Arabidopsis thaliana: one gene and its partners. The protein of the gene in region 1 interacts with the protein of each later gene in a pairwise test. Each region holds a gene or a part of one and is shown on either strand. Other genes may lie near its edges.

Region 1 (7,653 bases):
ATGTCAAGCCTCTGTTTCATAAGTAAACCTTTCTCTTATTTCCGATTTTTAGCATTCACTATTGATTCTGTGAACTTTCCTTTGTTTTCTATAATTTTGTATTTGTTTCTTTTTCCCAGTTTTGATGTTCATCACCCTCCTGTTCAAGCTTGGAATTTGCCAATGTGTTGTGAAAAGTATCTGCAAAATGTCATGTGCCGCTTGTGCAGCGTACTGGTTCGACATTGGAGAGATGATTAGTTGCTTGTGTCACAGTTTGACTAACATAAATCGGGTCAACCGTCGCAGAAAACGTCTCGATGATATAGAAGCTACGACCTATGATTATCCGAGTGATGATGAATCAAGTTCATCGGACAGTCCCAGTCGAATAGATAACATTAGACCAAAGCAGAGAAGAAGAAGACTAGGAAGCAAACACAGCCACCACCATCATGGCAGCAATCGCAACAACCGCCGTCTCATAAGACTACCGAGTAGACAATTGTCTGTACGAGTTGGAGGCAAATCAAGAAGAGTAAGAAGAAGTACTAGAAAGATTAAATCGAGGAAAATAAAGACTCTCAAAGTCAAAGATGTGGTTGATTAAAATGTCTCTAGAATTCCTTAAAGAGTGTCTCTAAACTCAAAAACAGAATTATCTCATTTATTCAGATGAAATGAAACACAAAAACCATTAATCCATGTAAATCATTTTATAACCAACCTCTCTCCCTCTCTATTTGTATATGTGCAAGAGAGTAAATAAGCCGGGATGGATAAGTAACGGTTCACTTTCAGAGGAAAACCGGAGCCATGACGAGAGTTATAGTCGCAAGCATTTTTATGAGGACGTGAATGGATGGACCGGCTGTGTCCTTGAACGGATCTCCCACGCTACAATTTTCAGATGAATTCTAATGAGAAATCGTATTCAGGAATATAACTTTGAATGAGTGTTGAAGTAGAACGAAAATACTTACGTATCACCAGTCACAGCTGCTTTGTGAGCTTCACTTCCTTTGCCCCCAAGTGCCCCGGTCTCTATGTATTTCTTTGCATTGTCCCAAGCACCTCCCGCCGTGTTTAGGAAAAGTGCCATTAAGATACCACAAACTGTTGCAAACATGAGCATAGAAGCTACAACTTTTGCTCCGAGCAGAGGTTGTCCTGTGTAGTAACCCAAGATTCGAAACACCAAACCTGAAAGAGAGAACAAGAGGTTTGTTTTTGGTCACAATGTTGTGGTTTCAAACTTTCAATACAGTAAGTAAAGAAAAACGAGTAGATATTACTGACTTACCAACTACAATGGGTGATGCAATAGCTAAAGCTCCTGGCTTTATCATTTCTCTTAAAGCTGCAGATGCGACTATGGCGACACAGCGACTATAATCTGGCTTCTCCTTGTACTCCTGCAACAAGATATTTGCTAGTCAACAACGGTACAAGCCAATACACAAGAAAAGGTGAAGCACTCAAAAGGAAAAATATGCTCACCATTATGCCAGGCCTCTCAATAAATTGCCTTCTTACTTCGTTGACAACCTCTTGTGCAGTTCGACCAACTGCCGCGCATGCCCAAGCACTAAAGAGGAAAATAAGCATGGCACCCAATAATCCACCAACGAACACTTCTGGGATAGCAATATCAACCTGATTTTATCCGAGGATGAGTATGAGAAGTTGTCTCAACATCGAGAATACAGCAACGATGCATAACGAAATCTACCTCTTTGAAAGACACATTAGCAAACGCTGAAACCTCGTCCATATACGCACTAAAGAGAAGGAATGATGCAAGTGCAGCAGATCCAATGGCAAACCCTTTCGTTGTTGCTTTTGTGGTGTTCCCAACAGCATCAAGAAGATCAGTGATCTCACGGACACTCTCTGGCTGCACGAAACATTTATTATTTCTACATAGAATAAAGATGGAACATAAGAGCCTTTCAAGCCAATCATGTGACATCTTACCTGCTGGCTCATCTCGACAATCCCACCAGCGTTGTCAGCTATGGGGCCAAACATGTCCATAGTAAGGACATAAGCTGCAGTGCTTAGCATTCCCATTGTAGCAACGGCTGTTCCAAATAGACCTCCAGTGGGAATACCATTTTCGTCCACTAGACCCGAGGTATTGCCCAACCAATACGCAGAAATAATAGCTACACTTATAGTCAAAACTGGAAGAGCAGTTGATTCCAGGCCCAAGCTTACTCCAGCAATGATATTAGTCCCATGACCAGTCGAGCTAGCAAGAGCCAACGTCCGAACAGGCTCGTGCTTATAGTCTGTATAATATTTGGATATCCAGACAAAGATATAGGCTGTGATGATGCCAACCAACCCACATAGGGCGAAATTGAACCATGCAGATGGAGCTTGTTCAGTGTAAAGCAGCCAGCGAGTCGACTACAAACATAAATAATGCTGTCAGAAGAATATAGCAAAGAATTTGTTCGAAATTTCAGTAATAACAAGGCTAGTGTAGGCTAATGAAAAGTCTGAACCAAAAAGCCCATAAAAAGCAGAATTAATTGTAAAAAGAATGAAAGGAACAAGACAATCAATGGTTATGTGTGACAACATTACCGCGCCAAATGTTATAACAGCTAATATAATTGTCAGAGAATATCCTTTCTGAAGTACAGCCATTGGATCCTCTACCGGAGATTTCACACTAGCATCACGTGTTCCCTTGATTGATAGAATACCAATTGAGGATATAATCAAGTCAAAAGAATGAACAACTAGAGGAAAAAGGATAAAGCCTGATGGATCTGCATAATAGAGAAAGATTTGAGTAAGTATCAAGCATGAACAAGAGGTTTAATAGGATGTTTATCAGCGCATATCTAACAACCACTGCTAGAAATGGGTAATGTTATTGAAATTTTTTGACTGCAGCCAAGTGTAGCTTGCTGTCATGAAAAGTAGTCTTCCTTCAATTTTCACACAATGCATAGCAGGTTCGTACAAGGTGCTTCAAACAATAACTCTATACAACTTATGTCGACTTTTTAAATCCTAACAAGTAATAATGTACCCTCAAATCCTCAAGGAGTGACCAAAACATGCAATAAAGCGTAGATTATTCTGTATACAGAATGTAATTTACGAGCTTGAACTCTCTATGCAACTCTTCCTAAGTTTGCATTTCAGATTATAAAATCCTAGCAGTTCATTTAATTTTCTCGGTATGAGTCAGGAACTCACACCATAAGTTATATATTTGCATATACCAGAAGTAACTTTAAAGAGAGATGGTGCACCTTCAATTTTGCACTTCTTAGCCATTGTTCCACCTAGTATCATTGCACTGATGATTTCTGCAGCTATACTTTCAAATAAATCAGCACCTCTAGCAGCACAGTCCCCCACATTGTCTCCAACCTACAAGAAGATGAAAATGGCTTTAAATGCCTAAATGACGAAAACACAAGCAAACCCTTGTAGAGTGATATATGCCCCAAACAAGGATGTCACGTTTGGGAATCACAGAATCAAGAAAGTAAGAAACAAAAAGAACAAAGATCAAATACCAAATCAGCAATAACAGCAGGATTTCGAGGATCATCCTCGGGAATTCCCTGCTCAACTTTCCCAACGAGATCTGCCCCAACATCAGCTCCCTTAGTATATATTCCACCACCCAACTGAGCAAATAAGGCAACAAACGAAGCACCAAAACCATATCCGACAAGAAGAAGAGGTACTGTAAGAGAAACAGAAAATTCAATCAATAAATCTTACAAGTTTAATAGCTCCACTATCGCCCATGCAAATGCAAATTCTGGTCAATAAATCAAGAGAATTACATATAGGGTTCACTGAAAATCTTAGAACTGTATTGGTACCCCACCTCAATCAAGATTAATACAAGTCATGACATATTTAAGAAAATACTGCTCATGTCTGAAAATGATCCTTTGAAAAGATAACAATAACTTTTTGAAACTCAGTACAATGATTATAGAATATACACACAAGACGAAAATGAATATTTTTCATAAAAAAAAAAGAGCAGAAGACTTACGGTCAGTAACATTCATTGAGCCTGGTGAACCCACGCCCAACCACACATAAAATGTAGAATAGAGGATGGCGATACCAATCACAGCCATACCAACAACAACCAGGGCTGAAAACCCACCAGCACGAACGGCTATCTGCATTATATCTGCCACTTAGTATTTGGAAACGTGTACATGACATGTTACCAAAATAGCTAAACTAAAGAAGAACCTGCAATGCTTCTCTCGCAGATCGTCTGGCAGCACTGGAGACCCGCACATTAGCACGAACTGACACCCACATTCCAACATATCCAGCAATACCTGAGCATAGAGCCCCCAAAAGAAATGCAGCAACAGTAATATAAGCAGACATCGCCCTGCAGCAAAATAGTAATATGGCTAAGCTTCATTCACAACAATTCAAAAGATAAAATAAATCTTGTGAATGTAATCATGTATCAGCACCTTCCTAAACCAGCAGCCTCTTGCTGGGGAGTTAAGCTACGGAATAGATATATGCAAAGAATCACAAAAGCTAGCAAAATGGCCATCTTGGATATAGTGCTATACTGCGTTCTGAAAAAACCTTCAGCTCCATCACGTATAGCATCTGATATCTATAAGTAAGAGAATTACCTCACAAATTAGAATTACAAATTTTTGATGAGAACAAAGAAGGAAAAATGTCAACATCATGACTAACACCACATAATCTGAGTGAGCTTACCTCAACCATCTCTGGAGGTCCTTCATCTTTCGCTAAAACCCACTTGGTTAGATATATTGACAAAAGGAAGCTGATGATGCATACTGTGAAGACGAACACGATGATGGGAGAAGTACTTGCCCCCATGTAAAAGATTGCTCCGAAGCAGAAAAGCAGAATTATCGAAAGGACACGGACATTTAATTTCCTAATAATCCGGAATATCTGCCAAAAAACAACTAAACTTTATACAATTTCAAAGAAAATGAAAACGAGATGCTCAAGAAACTAAGATGCTAAACGAAATAGAAGGAAACTAGTTATAATACGCATCTCAGTGATCTGATGCAAGCAAAAAGAAAAGCACTCAAGAAAGAGAGGAATAAAAGTTGTACCAGTGGACTATAGGTTTTACTACGCATGTTGGGAAAAGCCCTAGGCCTGTCATTGAAAGACATCAAACTGGCCTGCTCAACATCTTCATCCATCATCATGTTTTGAGCTGAATTAGCCCTTCGGACTATGTGTAGAGGCGTAAAGTCAATGCTATGGGGCAACTCCGCCCCAGAACTCGGACGCTGAATTTTAATACACTACAACTTTTTCCTCCAAACGTTAACAACAGCACATCACAAAACGAGCACAAGTTAGTATGAACCCTCTTAACTCTAGCTATATCTTTGATTCCAGCTTCTTCAAACTTTCTCAGTAGAGTTGCCACAACAAGTTTCCACCACAATCAAAATTTCTGAAAAAAATAGAAAAGTATGAAAAGTTGTGATGTTTCTCTTTACCAACCAAATAGCATTTTTAAATGAAATATAATCAGAGTAAGGTTCTACAGTAAAGTTTAGCTATAACTTTCATCATTTCCCATGAGCGTAATTGCTTCTACGATCAATTCCCCAGAAAAGTGCGATTAACAAACAGACCTCAAGATCTAATCGACTAAGATTTCAGTGAATAAAACGCAAGGGACTTTGCATTCCGAGTTTAATGAATCAAGCACCGTTACTTTAATTTAGATCTGAGTTCTGTTCTAAGAGAAATTCACATGATCTCTAGACAGGAAATGGATACGTTTCCAGAAACGAATCCAACGAAAAAAAAAAAGCATACGAAGAGTTTATCCGGAAACAAACCCTAAAAATCGGTAAAACAGAGAAGATGACGGCTCCGGTGAGAGTGATCAGAAGGAAACCGCCATTAGCGAAAGCTTGTTGTAGCCGAAGAAGCGCTCTATCCTCTCGCTGTCTCCGTTCTAAATCCGAAGACTTTTCACAGAACTTTCCGAATATTTTTTTCCTAAATTAATTTTTCTACCTTTAATTTTATTTTCACTCCTCAGTGGTTCAATACTAATTTTATGACACATCCTATCCAATGAGTCGTTGACACTTAATCACTATTCTCACTTAAAAAGTTAAAAACTTAAAATCATCCTCGTTTGTTAAATTATATAGATCGAGTTAAATTATCAAAAATACCCATCAATTTTGGAATATTAACATTTGAATATTATATGGGCCTAGCCCAAAATTATGTTTTGCCATTCGGCCCATATAATAGACAATCTGCAAAGTGAAGAAGAAGAAGAACCACTAACGTTATCTTACCGGCCCGATCACGGAGCTCACCTTTCATCGTCAATCTCCGGCGGACGAATTTCTCTTCGTAGCCGTTACTTCTCATTATTTCTTTGAAACTTTCTTAGAAAATTCTCTGTTTTGGTTAGGACAATACAAACAGAGGATGTTGATGACACTAGCGGCGACGACCTCCGTTTCATTTAACTCGAAGCTTCTCCTATTTCGAATACGTTGCTCGGATTCTAACCCTAAGCGTGGCTTCGGCTCAAAAAAGGTTTGATTCCAAATTCTTCTTTGTTCAACTTAATTTTGTTGATTCAAAGTACTGAGACAAAAATGTGAAATCGCATCACAGGAAGAGAAAGACCCGGCATTGCAGCAAAGGTATAAATAGTTTTTGTGTTTGTTTAAAGCATTTAGAATTTTAAATTGCTGTTGTTATATTTTCATATGGACTTCTTTGCTGCAGGAAATCATCTTCTAAACAGTCTGTTTCTGTACCCAGAAGTAAGTATAATTTGATTTTAAAGCATATTGTACGTAACAGATGTTGCTGCTCTCCTTCATGGTGTCTCGAACATAACTTCATTTTTGCATTCTTCAGTTTATCTCAAAAAGTTGGTTTCAATTGAAAGGTTTGCTCAAGAAACTCCTGCATTTGTTTGCAGAGGCACCTGGTCTGAATACTCAGTTTGAAGGAAAATCTGGTCGATCTTTTGATATAGACTTCGATGAACGGCTGGAAAACATCAGAAGGTACCTATGTTTTATGATTCTAGCATGAAGATTGGCTTTAGAGATATATAGGTTACAATAGGATTATTCCTCTGACAATCACACTTGACTTTCTCATTATACCCACAACGACATGATCTTCCTATGAAAGTTTGATTCTTTTTTTTTCTTGATTTGTTCATCACTTGTCTTGCTTTCCACTTCCCTCACCCCCTAGACATAGTCAAGATCATTGTCCTCCCACTGATCGGAATGTTATTTCTGTGACCTCTGCTCTTTTGATGAATCAGGTCAGCTCTTGAGCAGAAAAAGACAGAAGTAGTTAAAGAATTTGGTCCAATTGACTATGATGCACCAGTCAAGTCTGACCAGAAAACAATTGGTCTTGGTACTAAGGTACGCATACATAACATCTTGCAAGTGTTTATTTTTTATTTTGTTCTAAAACCACTTGAGGCCTATAAGCTACTCATACATAACATGACAAAACTTGGGCCCATGCCATGACAGGTTGGAGTTGGCATAGCTGTTGTTGTATTTGGTTTGGTTTTTGCTCTTGGTGACTTTCTTCCCACGGGAAGGTGCGTTAAGTGAAGTCCAAGTCATAACTGTGTCATTTACACCA
Region 2 (4,918 bases), on another chromosome or scaffold:
AAGTCATTGTACATTATACCAGCTCATGCTAACCTTGTGTCTCAAGTGAAGTATGAGCCACAAGAAGGCTACTTTCTGGCCACTGCCTCATACGACATGAAAGTCAATGTAACTACTTCTATAATCCCTTGCCTTAGTATTTTTTTTTTTTTCAGTCTTCTGTTTCATTGGCTTATAGTTTGATTCCAATTTCTTATATTTTGTCTACCAGATATGGTCAGGAAGAGATTTCTCGCTCGTTAAAAGCTTAGCAGGGCATGAGTCAAAAGTCGCCTCTCTAGATATCACAGCAGATAGCTCGTGTATCGCTACTGTATCACATGATCGCACCATCAAGCTATGGACAAGCAGTGGAAATGATGATGAAGACGAAGAGAAAGAAACAATGGACATAGATCTCTAGTTTCATTTTTCATGTTTGTGCAAGAAAAAAAACTTGGGATCTAGGGATTTCGAGATTAGCTTGTTAGAGAAACTCATTAAATTGTATTTGATCTCTTGTCGGGAATTATAGAAACTCAGGATGCTGATACATTGTCTTGAAAATTTTGCCATTTCGTTCAACAAAAAGCAAATGAATGAACTTTGTTTACTTGAGAATACTTCAACACGTTAACAAAAATTGTTGATATATACGATTGTACAAGGTACTAAAGTAATGTTCTGTATTTGTGACTTCTCTGATTGCAGACTATTTATACCAACCAGCAAGAAAGTGTCGAAGTATGAAGCAGAAGGCGCAGGCTAGAGCCTGTAGCAAAAACAAGCAGAGTATGACAACACTAAAGCGACTACTTCATTATATACGAATGGCGATATACATATATCTGAGACCTACCTGGAAAACGAGAAGATGGATGCAAAGAGACTTTTCTGATTTAGGACCAAACAACCTCAAGTAAACATTGACGAGTGTCCCATCTTTTGTGCCGGTCAGTAATCCGGTAGCAGGATCATACCTGGATATTTTCAAAAGACAAGATGAGTGATGCGTCTGTTCTTTAATCAGTCTACAAAGGGTAAGAAAACAAAGGGGGTTACCTTGGGAGACGATGGCGCGGACATTTCACAATCCCAGCAAGCTGAAGAGTTATCATATATAGTATGTTAAATTTTTGAAACATGAGTTGACAAGATTATACGTATGCCATAGAAGAGTGAAAAGGTGATATGAACCTGAGGAAGCGATAATAGAAAGTTCAGAACTTGAGGAAGAAAGAAGATGAGGAGGGTTTCACTGCAGAAGCAAAATTTCAATACAGAAAGATGGCATGGGAATCAGTTGCATGGTCATACAGTAGCTGGATATATGATGCAAATGATCAATCTAAGAGTTGGTAGTTTCCATGTATTAGTGAAGTGCCTGTGCCTCAGAGAAGATAAGTGGGTTTGGAAGTATACCTGAAGTGACCCAGAATACCAACAACTGCCATAGTCATTCCGGCGAAGACTGTGTAAGTGTCTCCAACAAAAACTGAAGAAGGATACCTAACAGCAGAAGATTGCGAGAACTGGTCAGAAATATCATTACTTCCACTCAAAAAAAAAAAGTTTTAAAGAGAAAGCCTGCTAGGGATTTTACCAATTGTAAGCAAGCATTGCCAAGGATGTGGCCATCAGCGGTTGAGTAAGAAATATCGAGAAGGCATGAGCTTGGTGATACTCGGGATCAACAGATGCTCCGATTTGCATAACGTTGTGTATCAGGATCTACAGGTAACTGGGATGCATCATATCTCAACCCAAAAGAAACAAAATGAGAAAAATTCAGAGACATTATGTATGACCATAAGACTTACAGCAGCGGCAATAACAACTGTTTGACCGATTTCAAGGCCATTCAGACCAGCGTGGATGTTAATAGAGTTTGTACAAAAGACAGCAAGTAGCCCCATATATAACTTATATATCCTTCCTGCCACGTTAAAACATCTATTGAGCTAATCATAATCATTTACCTCCTCAAAAGAAAAATACAAGTCAATGTGTACAAATAGGTGGTATCATGTACAAGAACCATTACCTAGATTAAGCACTTCCAAGCCAATATAAGCAACAAGAGGTTTTGGTATAACAATAGTTGTATGACCAGCATAAGCCATCAAAAGTGGAAGGGTAGCAAAAGATGGCAGGACAAGCTTTCTGTTGTTTAAATTGACAACAGTAAACATGTGAATCAAAAACGATAAGCGTGAATTTCATCAAAAAAATATGTAGGAATTAGGACTTACACTCTCCAAGGCACATCAAGGACATCATCTACAAATCCAAGCAAAATCATGAAGCAAATAGATGCTAGTGCTGCATTATACTCCACAAGCCACTGCACAGAATCATCAGCCAGACTCACAAACATTGATAATGAGAATAACCACAGAGATTAATAAAACAAGACGTTAATGCACACTTACATTAGAATCTTCAGTGAAGTTAAAATACTGAAATATTATCGCCACGATCAAAAAGACAATACCAACAACAATACCCAATGACTCTGGCCTGAAAACAAAGAGGATGAAGAAATTTTAATCAAACTAATCTTAATCTTTGGAAAATCAGAGATTGATAAAAACTCACACTTTAATATCTCCTTGAGGCGTGCCTCTTTTGTTGATATCAAAACCAAACATGTTACGTCTCAGAACGTATCTGGCAGTAACAGGAATCATTTTGAGAGTGACGAAAAACCCAACCAAGCTAAGCCCCGCGTTAATTAGAATCGATCGCTTGAGCTCATTATCAACCTTGTAGTGAAAACAGAGAAGGTATAGATAGAGCGAACAGAGAAGAGTAGAGATCACGAAGATCACTCCTAATTTCGGCGGCGCGAGACGAAATTCCTCACCGGAAGCAGAAACCGTCTTTCGGGTCATCTTCTGCTCCGATGGCGCTGAGTTGGGTTCCGACGGGTCCGGTTTGTTGGGAATTGAGATCGATGAAGCTCTCTTACGAGCTGCCATGGCGGATTTGTTGGCTCGTTTCGTTTCCCCGCGCTCTGGATTTTGACTCCAAACTCCGTTCGCCTGAGAAAGGATTCTTCAGAGCAATTCCCGTTCTGCGTCATATAGACCAATAAGGATTTGCCACGTCGCTTCAAATACGACACCGTGTCATCGAAATAGAACTTTATGGATTAATCATAACTTTAATTATTCGTATTAAGTACAAGAATATATCTTGGATTATACTTATAGAACTCTCTTTTTTTAAGAAAAAAATGCATAAATTTTGCTAAGAATTTTGTTGTAGCAACACATCAGCATGACATAAAGCAACTATTAAAAATTAAAACTAAAACTTATATTTAAAAGATTATGTAATAATATAGTTATTAATTAATAGTCATAATTTTTAACAAAGTTTCTTTTAATATAAAAATTGACATAGAAAATTATTTATTTTGAAGATTTTTTTATTGATAAGATGAAGAAGATGATCCATGCGACATTTGCTCACTAGTTACGCTTCCATCATTGGGAGCTTTGAGATGATCATTTTGAAGAAGAACATTCAGATGAAATCTCTGAAGAAGACGTAGTGCTCACAGAAGAAACTTGCACACTACTTTCTTTATCCGTAGAAGTTTGAGAGCTACTAGAATTATCACTATTTTCATCTTTTGTTACACAACTACACCAGTTTCCCATTAATGTCCCTACAAACATAATAAAAAATGTTAAAGTTGCTAAATTATATCTTAGTTTTTTTTGTAAGTGTTTTCAAATTAACTGAATAGTACTTATTGGTCTGTAGGATCAGTTTCGAAAATGCAACAACCCATTGTAATTTAAAATAAGTTTTTGTAAATGTACCTTAGCTTGAATCTCCTCAGAGTTTGTTATGATCTCTAGCTACACAATTCATCTTTTTATAGTGAGAGAAAAATATCTCAAAATTCAATACAAAATCTTTTACTATTAATTACTTTTTTTTTTTACAAGATCGAATCGACCTATTATTAGAACTTGGATGCATATGGATCATGATTTATGTCACAAAAGTTTTGTGATATTTAATCATAATCTAAACATTTTCTATGTCTTCTACTATATTTTGACACTTGTGTGTAAGACATAAATGGTAAGAGGAAATATTATTGATAGTGTTTTTTTTTTTTTGGATTTGGGTCAAAAATATTGTGGGGGGAAGCCACGTGTACAAATAAAAGTAAAATTTAGTTAAGACAATAAATATGAGAGTTAATGTATGTATCTTAGAAACAAAAAAAAAATATTAAGTATGAAATATAAGGAAAGATATAGCAAAAAAAGTAAGAATAAATCAACATCTTATTATATAAAATATGGTTTTCAAAGTTATTAACTCATAAGATTATGCCACGTGTCAAGTCTATCGATCAGATGTTGCCATGTGTAAGAAAATAATTAACCATTTTCTTCTTAAAGAAATAGAAATACTAAAAAATAAATTAATTAACTTTTTTCTTCTTAAAGAAATAGAAAACTAAAAAATAAATCATTATTAACATATACTAATTCATATTTCTATATCTAAAAAATATTACATTTTATTTTTCTTAACCAAAAGAAAAATTAACAAAAAAAAATCTTATTATATAAAGTATGGTTTTCAAAGTTACTAACTCATAAGATTATGCCACGTGTCAAGTCTATCGATCAGATGTTGCCATGTGTAAGAAAATAATTAACTTTTTTTTTCTTAAAGAAATAGAAAACTAAAAAAAGAAATCATTATTAACATATACTAATTCATATTTCTATATCTAAAAAATATTACATTTTATTTTTCTTAACCAAAAGGAAAATTAACAAAAAAAATATATATATATGTTATTGGTCAAATTTTTAATATATATGGTATTAACAAATGTTTTATTATTATGAATTATGTTTTGTTAATTGTTAATAATTTTTAATATTAACTAAGATATAGATTT
Region 3 (4,222 bases), on another chromosome or scaffold:
AAAATGGAGAGAAGAAGAAGAAGAAGAAGAGAAGATTGTTATCTATCCCGAGGAGATTATTAAATTATTAAGATGGGACTTTGGATGCCCACATACACAACTATTTAATGAACCTTCTTCTTATTTATTGCACTTCCCATCTCCCAATTAGCCCCTCTAACCAAACCCTTTTCTTTGGTTCTGTCTTATTAACTCTTACTAATAGGCTTAACCAAATCCAATCAAGTTCTTTGATTTAGAAAGACAAGTGTAGATGATGTGACACGTGCACGTTCCTTTCAAACCAAACAAGATACTATGATTTAAATTGTTTTCCTTAATTAAGTAATGTGGTGGTTGGAAGTGGATATTATAATGCCCTCGAATTAATTGCTAAAAAGATTCTCCCATTAAACTTTAGTGCCTTCACCAAGCTACCCACTTTTAATAATAGTAAGTATTTTTATTTCTCTCTTCCATTTTCGGTGATATAATGCTACATCTTAATGAACCACATGCATTGGCATCGTGTTGAATAAGTACACGCGTCTTTAGAATCTGATTTTACAAAGTCGGTGTTACAAGATAAAAATTGACAACACGTAGAGGAATAGAGACAATGTGTTTGTTATGGTGTATATATACACATTGGGTAAATATTGGGGCTGCTTCTACGGTAACAACCTGCTCAACTCTCAAAAACGAACTACTTGTTATTGGTAAAATCCAACAAACAACCAGAGAAAAAGAGTCATATAAATATACATTGTTAAGGAAGATTAGGAACAAAAAGAGAAGCACAATTTCTGCCACAAGTGTCTCCTAAAAGGCTACAACTTTGAACTCAAAAACCATCCAATCTTCACTCTTTTCAGGGATGCGATTTAGAACTCCACGAACCTACACACATATTTGCTCACTCTGTTTGAGAGTATGAGCCACGGTATGATCCCGACCTGCATTTTTACCCAACCAACACTCTCAATCAAGAACAAGCCCAAATAAATGGATTGAGAAGAAGGAACTTACCATTACATGGCCTGTCATGTGACCTCCTGTTCCCCAAGATAACAAAGTCCCTGTGAAACACACCACATTCATTTTTTTCCTATGTGTTATATACCATAAGCGAGCTTTAACCTGGTAAAAGTAAACTACTCACCAAACGGTTGAACAAGTTGCTTAGCGATAATGGCAATTGGAGTCCTCCAGAAGCACAATACCAAGATTAGGTATATCACAACCTAGAAACAAAGTTCTTAGCACATCTCGATTAAGGAGTTTTAGACGGAAAAAAAGAAGAAGCTTGAGCACACAAACTAAGCTACCTTCGAAGCAAGCAGACCCTTCCCATACATATCGTATGAAAGCTTGATTTCTTTGTGATGCTGCTCCAGATCTAAAATTTCAAAATGAGAATTAACAAATACACACACACACCAATACTACACCATGATGATGCAGTGCTTTAGTAGGAATATCTGCTACCAGATAGTATTCATGTTTAAAGCTAACTAACTGTTGCATCATATTTCTGAATTTCATGAACTCTACACTCACAAAGCAATCAATCATATTTCTGAATTTCATGATCTCTACACTCACTAAGCAATCAATCATATTTCTGAATTTCATGAACTCTACGCTCACTAAGCAATCAATGTAGAACTAATAATGTATGCATACTCACATTGTGCAAGTTCTTTCTCTTTAGTAGCTGCTGACCTCCTAAGTTTCGCTGCTTGCGCAAATGTGGCTGGCCTGCAAGTAAACAATAGATAAATCTCTAATCAACAACACTCATATATATATTTTTCAACAACTGCACCTTCCTTAACTCAAATCACTAGAACCAAAACAAAATGTGACAACAAAATGGCTTACTGAGACAATGCACTAGCCTCTCTCAAAAGCTGCTTAATTTCGGTTCGCAGCTCTGATTCCCTCGTGTTCTTCGACCCTTTCTGAAGAAATTCCATAATTCAAAACGATGATTCATGTGGATATGAAAAAAAGCCAAAAAGTATTATCTTTTTTACCTTCTTCAATTGGTCAAGCCACTTGGATAGCAATTGGAAGACAACGACGACGACGAAGGTCAGAGGAGCAGCCAAAAAGCCGCGATCTTCTATAAGCTTCTCTCCTTCCATTAACCCTTTTGCTGATTACTGATTCTAACGTAATTCACCAATCTGCTCGAACAATTCATAACTCAGTACCATTCAGATCAACAAAATAAAAGCCTTAATTGAATCCATCATGTTCTGGATAAACATATCATCTAATCAATGGAGGAGGAAAAGATTCTAGTGCATATAGAATGAGATCGTCGTGAGTATGATCGGAACTTACAATCTCCGTCGTGGATTCACAGAAATTTGAAGCCTTCAAGCCGAGGTTAACGTCTGAAATTGAACGAACGATGGGAATTTAGAATTGGCCTGAATCTGTAAAAGAGGAGGGTTCTGATTTTGATAAAACAAAAGTTTCTACTCGTTTCGTGAAATAAATAAAACTCAAGCCCTTATGTGTAAACAACAATAACTAAACCCTTTTTCAACAGGCTCTATTGGGCTTCGTTGAAATAAAGAAACGGCCCATTAAATTAAAACTAAACCGCTTGTTTATTTTCTTTAAAATTTCATTAAGCTTGGGTATACATGAGTACATGTGAAAAGAAACAACAACTAGGCTACAAGTTTCAGTCAACAGTAAAAGTATCCAAATTTAGAATGAATAGGATAAAAATAGATATAAATAGTAGAGATGTAGTAAAACTACAAAATGGAGGGTAAGAAATTAGAAATGTGAAAATTTAACAAACATAATGTATTCTTTTTACGTGGAGTGGTTGTAATGGTTTTACCAGAAATGGCACGCGTTGTCTCTAATCTTTCTCAACTAATCTAAAGACACTATATGTTTTGTCTCATCCGATCCCACTTAATTATGTTAATCATCTATCTAATTGGGGTTATCACCAAATCAGAGCATTATCGATAACATCGCAGATACCGAAGCTGAAAAAAGGAAGAAAAACAATGTAAGTCCAAATCCTAAACGTCGTAGCATCTTCAGCTTTCGTGTATGCATGCCATTATATTCCAATTACTTGACGACAAACTTTTGCTCCCACCACTTTTGATGTGCCTTTCAAACTTTGTATCCCCATTGTCCACTTCCTCTTTCTTTCAACCCGCTCCGTTTTGTAGCTATACTGTCTCACTTTTTTTCGTTGTTAGAGGTGTAACAATAAATTTACCAATTTAATCTAATATATCATTTCATTTGTAATGATATCAACATTCTTATCTAATATCAACAATCAAGAGTGATACATTATAAAGGCATTTGACATTTGTATATATTGGTGAATATATGTGAGATAAGTTTTGTACCTTGTGGACCAATTAATGTGGGGAGTTTGCAGAATCCGACTATGAAGTGAAACTCAAAATGCACACATGTGGTTTAGAATTGTATCAGAAAATTTTACATTATATGGGTGTTAAGAATTATATGTACTGCAATTATTATATATATCAAACACAACTAATATCTATTATATAAGATTATCACGATAGGAAATATATAAGTTTGCATCGGCTTTGCATTGAACACATATATTAATTGATACGTATATAGTATTCTACTTTTTTATAAATTAATCTTTTCGATCCCTAAATTAGTAAAAATATGATAATGTACATGCATGGATGTTTTCATTATGGGAAGGGAGCGTAGAGTAGCATTTTGATCGAGAGAAAACGAGGAGATCGAGAGAGAATGTCTTGTGTAAAAATGAGTGGTCTTTTTCACAATTATTTATCAATCAAAACACATCTCATACATATATGTTGATATCATTATTCCCTAGTCTATTGAACTCCATTTGTCTTTTTATCAATAGATAGGCCCACTTTTTATATACTTTTTCCTCCTTGCCAAATCATAAGAAGTTAAAACTTAAAAGTGGATCAACTAATTTATAGAAACCATTAACAACTTTTGACACTCTTCTTTAATGTGTGTTTCATTTTTAATTGAATGCCAATAATATAACTTTAAATTCCACTGAGAAGATTTGACGTAGAGACAAAGAAGTGGCTCCAATTCACCATCTCCCAAGCCACCAAAATCTCTCCTAAACCCTTTTGTCACTCCCTTTTCTCATATTCACTTTTTTTCCAAGGAATATTTAAAACCTCATGCAAGTTTTCTTGAATATAACAACATACGAATA

The links.
Region 2: the proteins of VP2 (region 1) and GPT interact in a protein complementation assay, tested with the Arabidopsis thaliana proteins (one large-scale study listed by BioGRID).
Region 3: the proteins of VP2 (region 1) and AT4G16444 interact in a protein complementation assay, tested with the Arabidopsis thaliana proteins (one large-scale study listed by BioGRID).

The regions. Positions count from the first base shown.
Region 1 is NC_003070.9:29,669,885-29,677,537, reverse strand, and holds VP2 (vacuolar H+-pyrophosphatase 2), read right to left. Parts: upstream 6,044-7,653; 5' UTR 5,847-6,043; intron 5,759-5,846; exon of another isoform or gene 5,547-5,758; intron 5,453-5,546; 5' UTR 5,199-5,452; coding exon 5,100-5,198; intron 4,930-5,099; coding exon 4,726-4,929; intron 4,616-4,725; coding exon 4,464-4,615; intron 4,376-4,463; coding exon 4,228-4,375; intron 4,152-4,227; coding exon 4,019-4,151; intron 3,698-4,018; coding exon 3,525-3,697; intron 3,376-3,524; coding exon 3,255-3,375; intron 2,763-3,254; coding exon 2,575-2,762; intron 2,395-2,574; coding exon 1,957-2,394; intron 1,877-1,956; coding exon 1,712-1,876; intron 1,636-1,711; coding exon 1,480-1,635; intron 1,395-1,479; coding exon 1,283-1,394; intron 1,183-1,282; coding exon 963-1,182; intron 877-962; coding exon 777-876; 3' UTR 707-776; exon of another isoform or gene 590-706; coding exon of another isoform or gene 120-589; 3' UTR 23-119; downstream 1-22. Other genes in the region: AT1G78922 (uncharacterized protein), read left to right, coding at 1-22, 120-589; AT1G78915 (Tetratricopeptide repeat (TPR)-like superfamily protein), read left to right, coding at 6,457-6,567, 6,649-6,677, 6,763-6,800, 6,962-7,049, 7,319-7,424, 7,539-7,618. UniProt on the Arabidopsis thaliana protein: Pyrophosphatase active in both inorganic pyrophosphate hydrolysis and H(+) translocation.
Region 2 is NC_003071.7:17,299,804-17,304,721, reverse strand, and holds GPT (UDP-glcnac-adolichol phosphate glcnac-1-p-transferase), read right to left. Parts: upstream 3,151-4,918; 5' UTR 2,961-3,150; coding exon 2,578-2,960; intron 2,500-2,577; coding exon 2,412-2,499; intron 2,324-2,411; coding exon 2,232-2,323; intron 2,143-2,231; coding exon 2,024-2,142; intron 1,916-2,023; coding exon 1,800-1,915; intron 1,711-1,799; coding exon 1,583-1,710; intron 1,489-1,582; coding exon 1,402-1,488; intron 1,238-1,401; coding exon 1,177-1,237; intron 1,083-1,176; coding exon 1,042-1,082; intron 960-1,041; coding exon 839-959; intron 752-838; coding exon 692-751; 3' UTR 511-691; downstream 1-510. Other genes in the region: LIS (WD-40 repeat family protein / small nuclear ribonucleoprotein Prp4p-like protein), read left to right, coding at 1-108, 212-403.
Region 3 is NC_003075.7:9,273,928-9,278,149, forward strand, and holds AT4G16444 (tail-anchored protein insertion receptor WRB-like protein), read right to left. Parts: upstream 2,521-4,222; 5' UTR 2,332-2,520; intron 2,172-2,331; 5' UTR 2,130-2,171; coding exon 2,019-2,129; intron 1,944-2,018; coding exon 1,864-1,943; intron 1,741-1,863; coding exon 1,670-1,740; intron 1,379-1,669; coding exon 1,308-1,378; intron 1,224-1,307; coding exon 1,142-1,223; intron 1,059-1,141; coding exon 1,009-1,058; intron 936-1,008; coding exon 864-935; 3' UTR 511-863; downstream 1-510.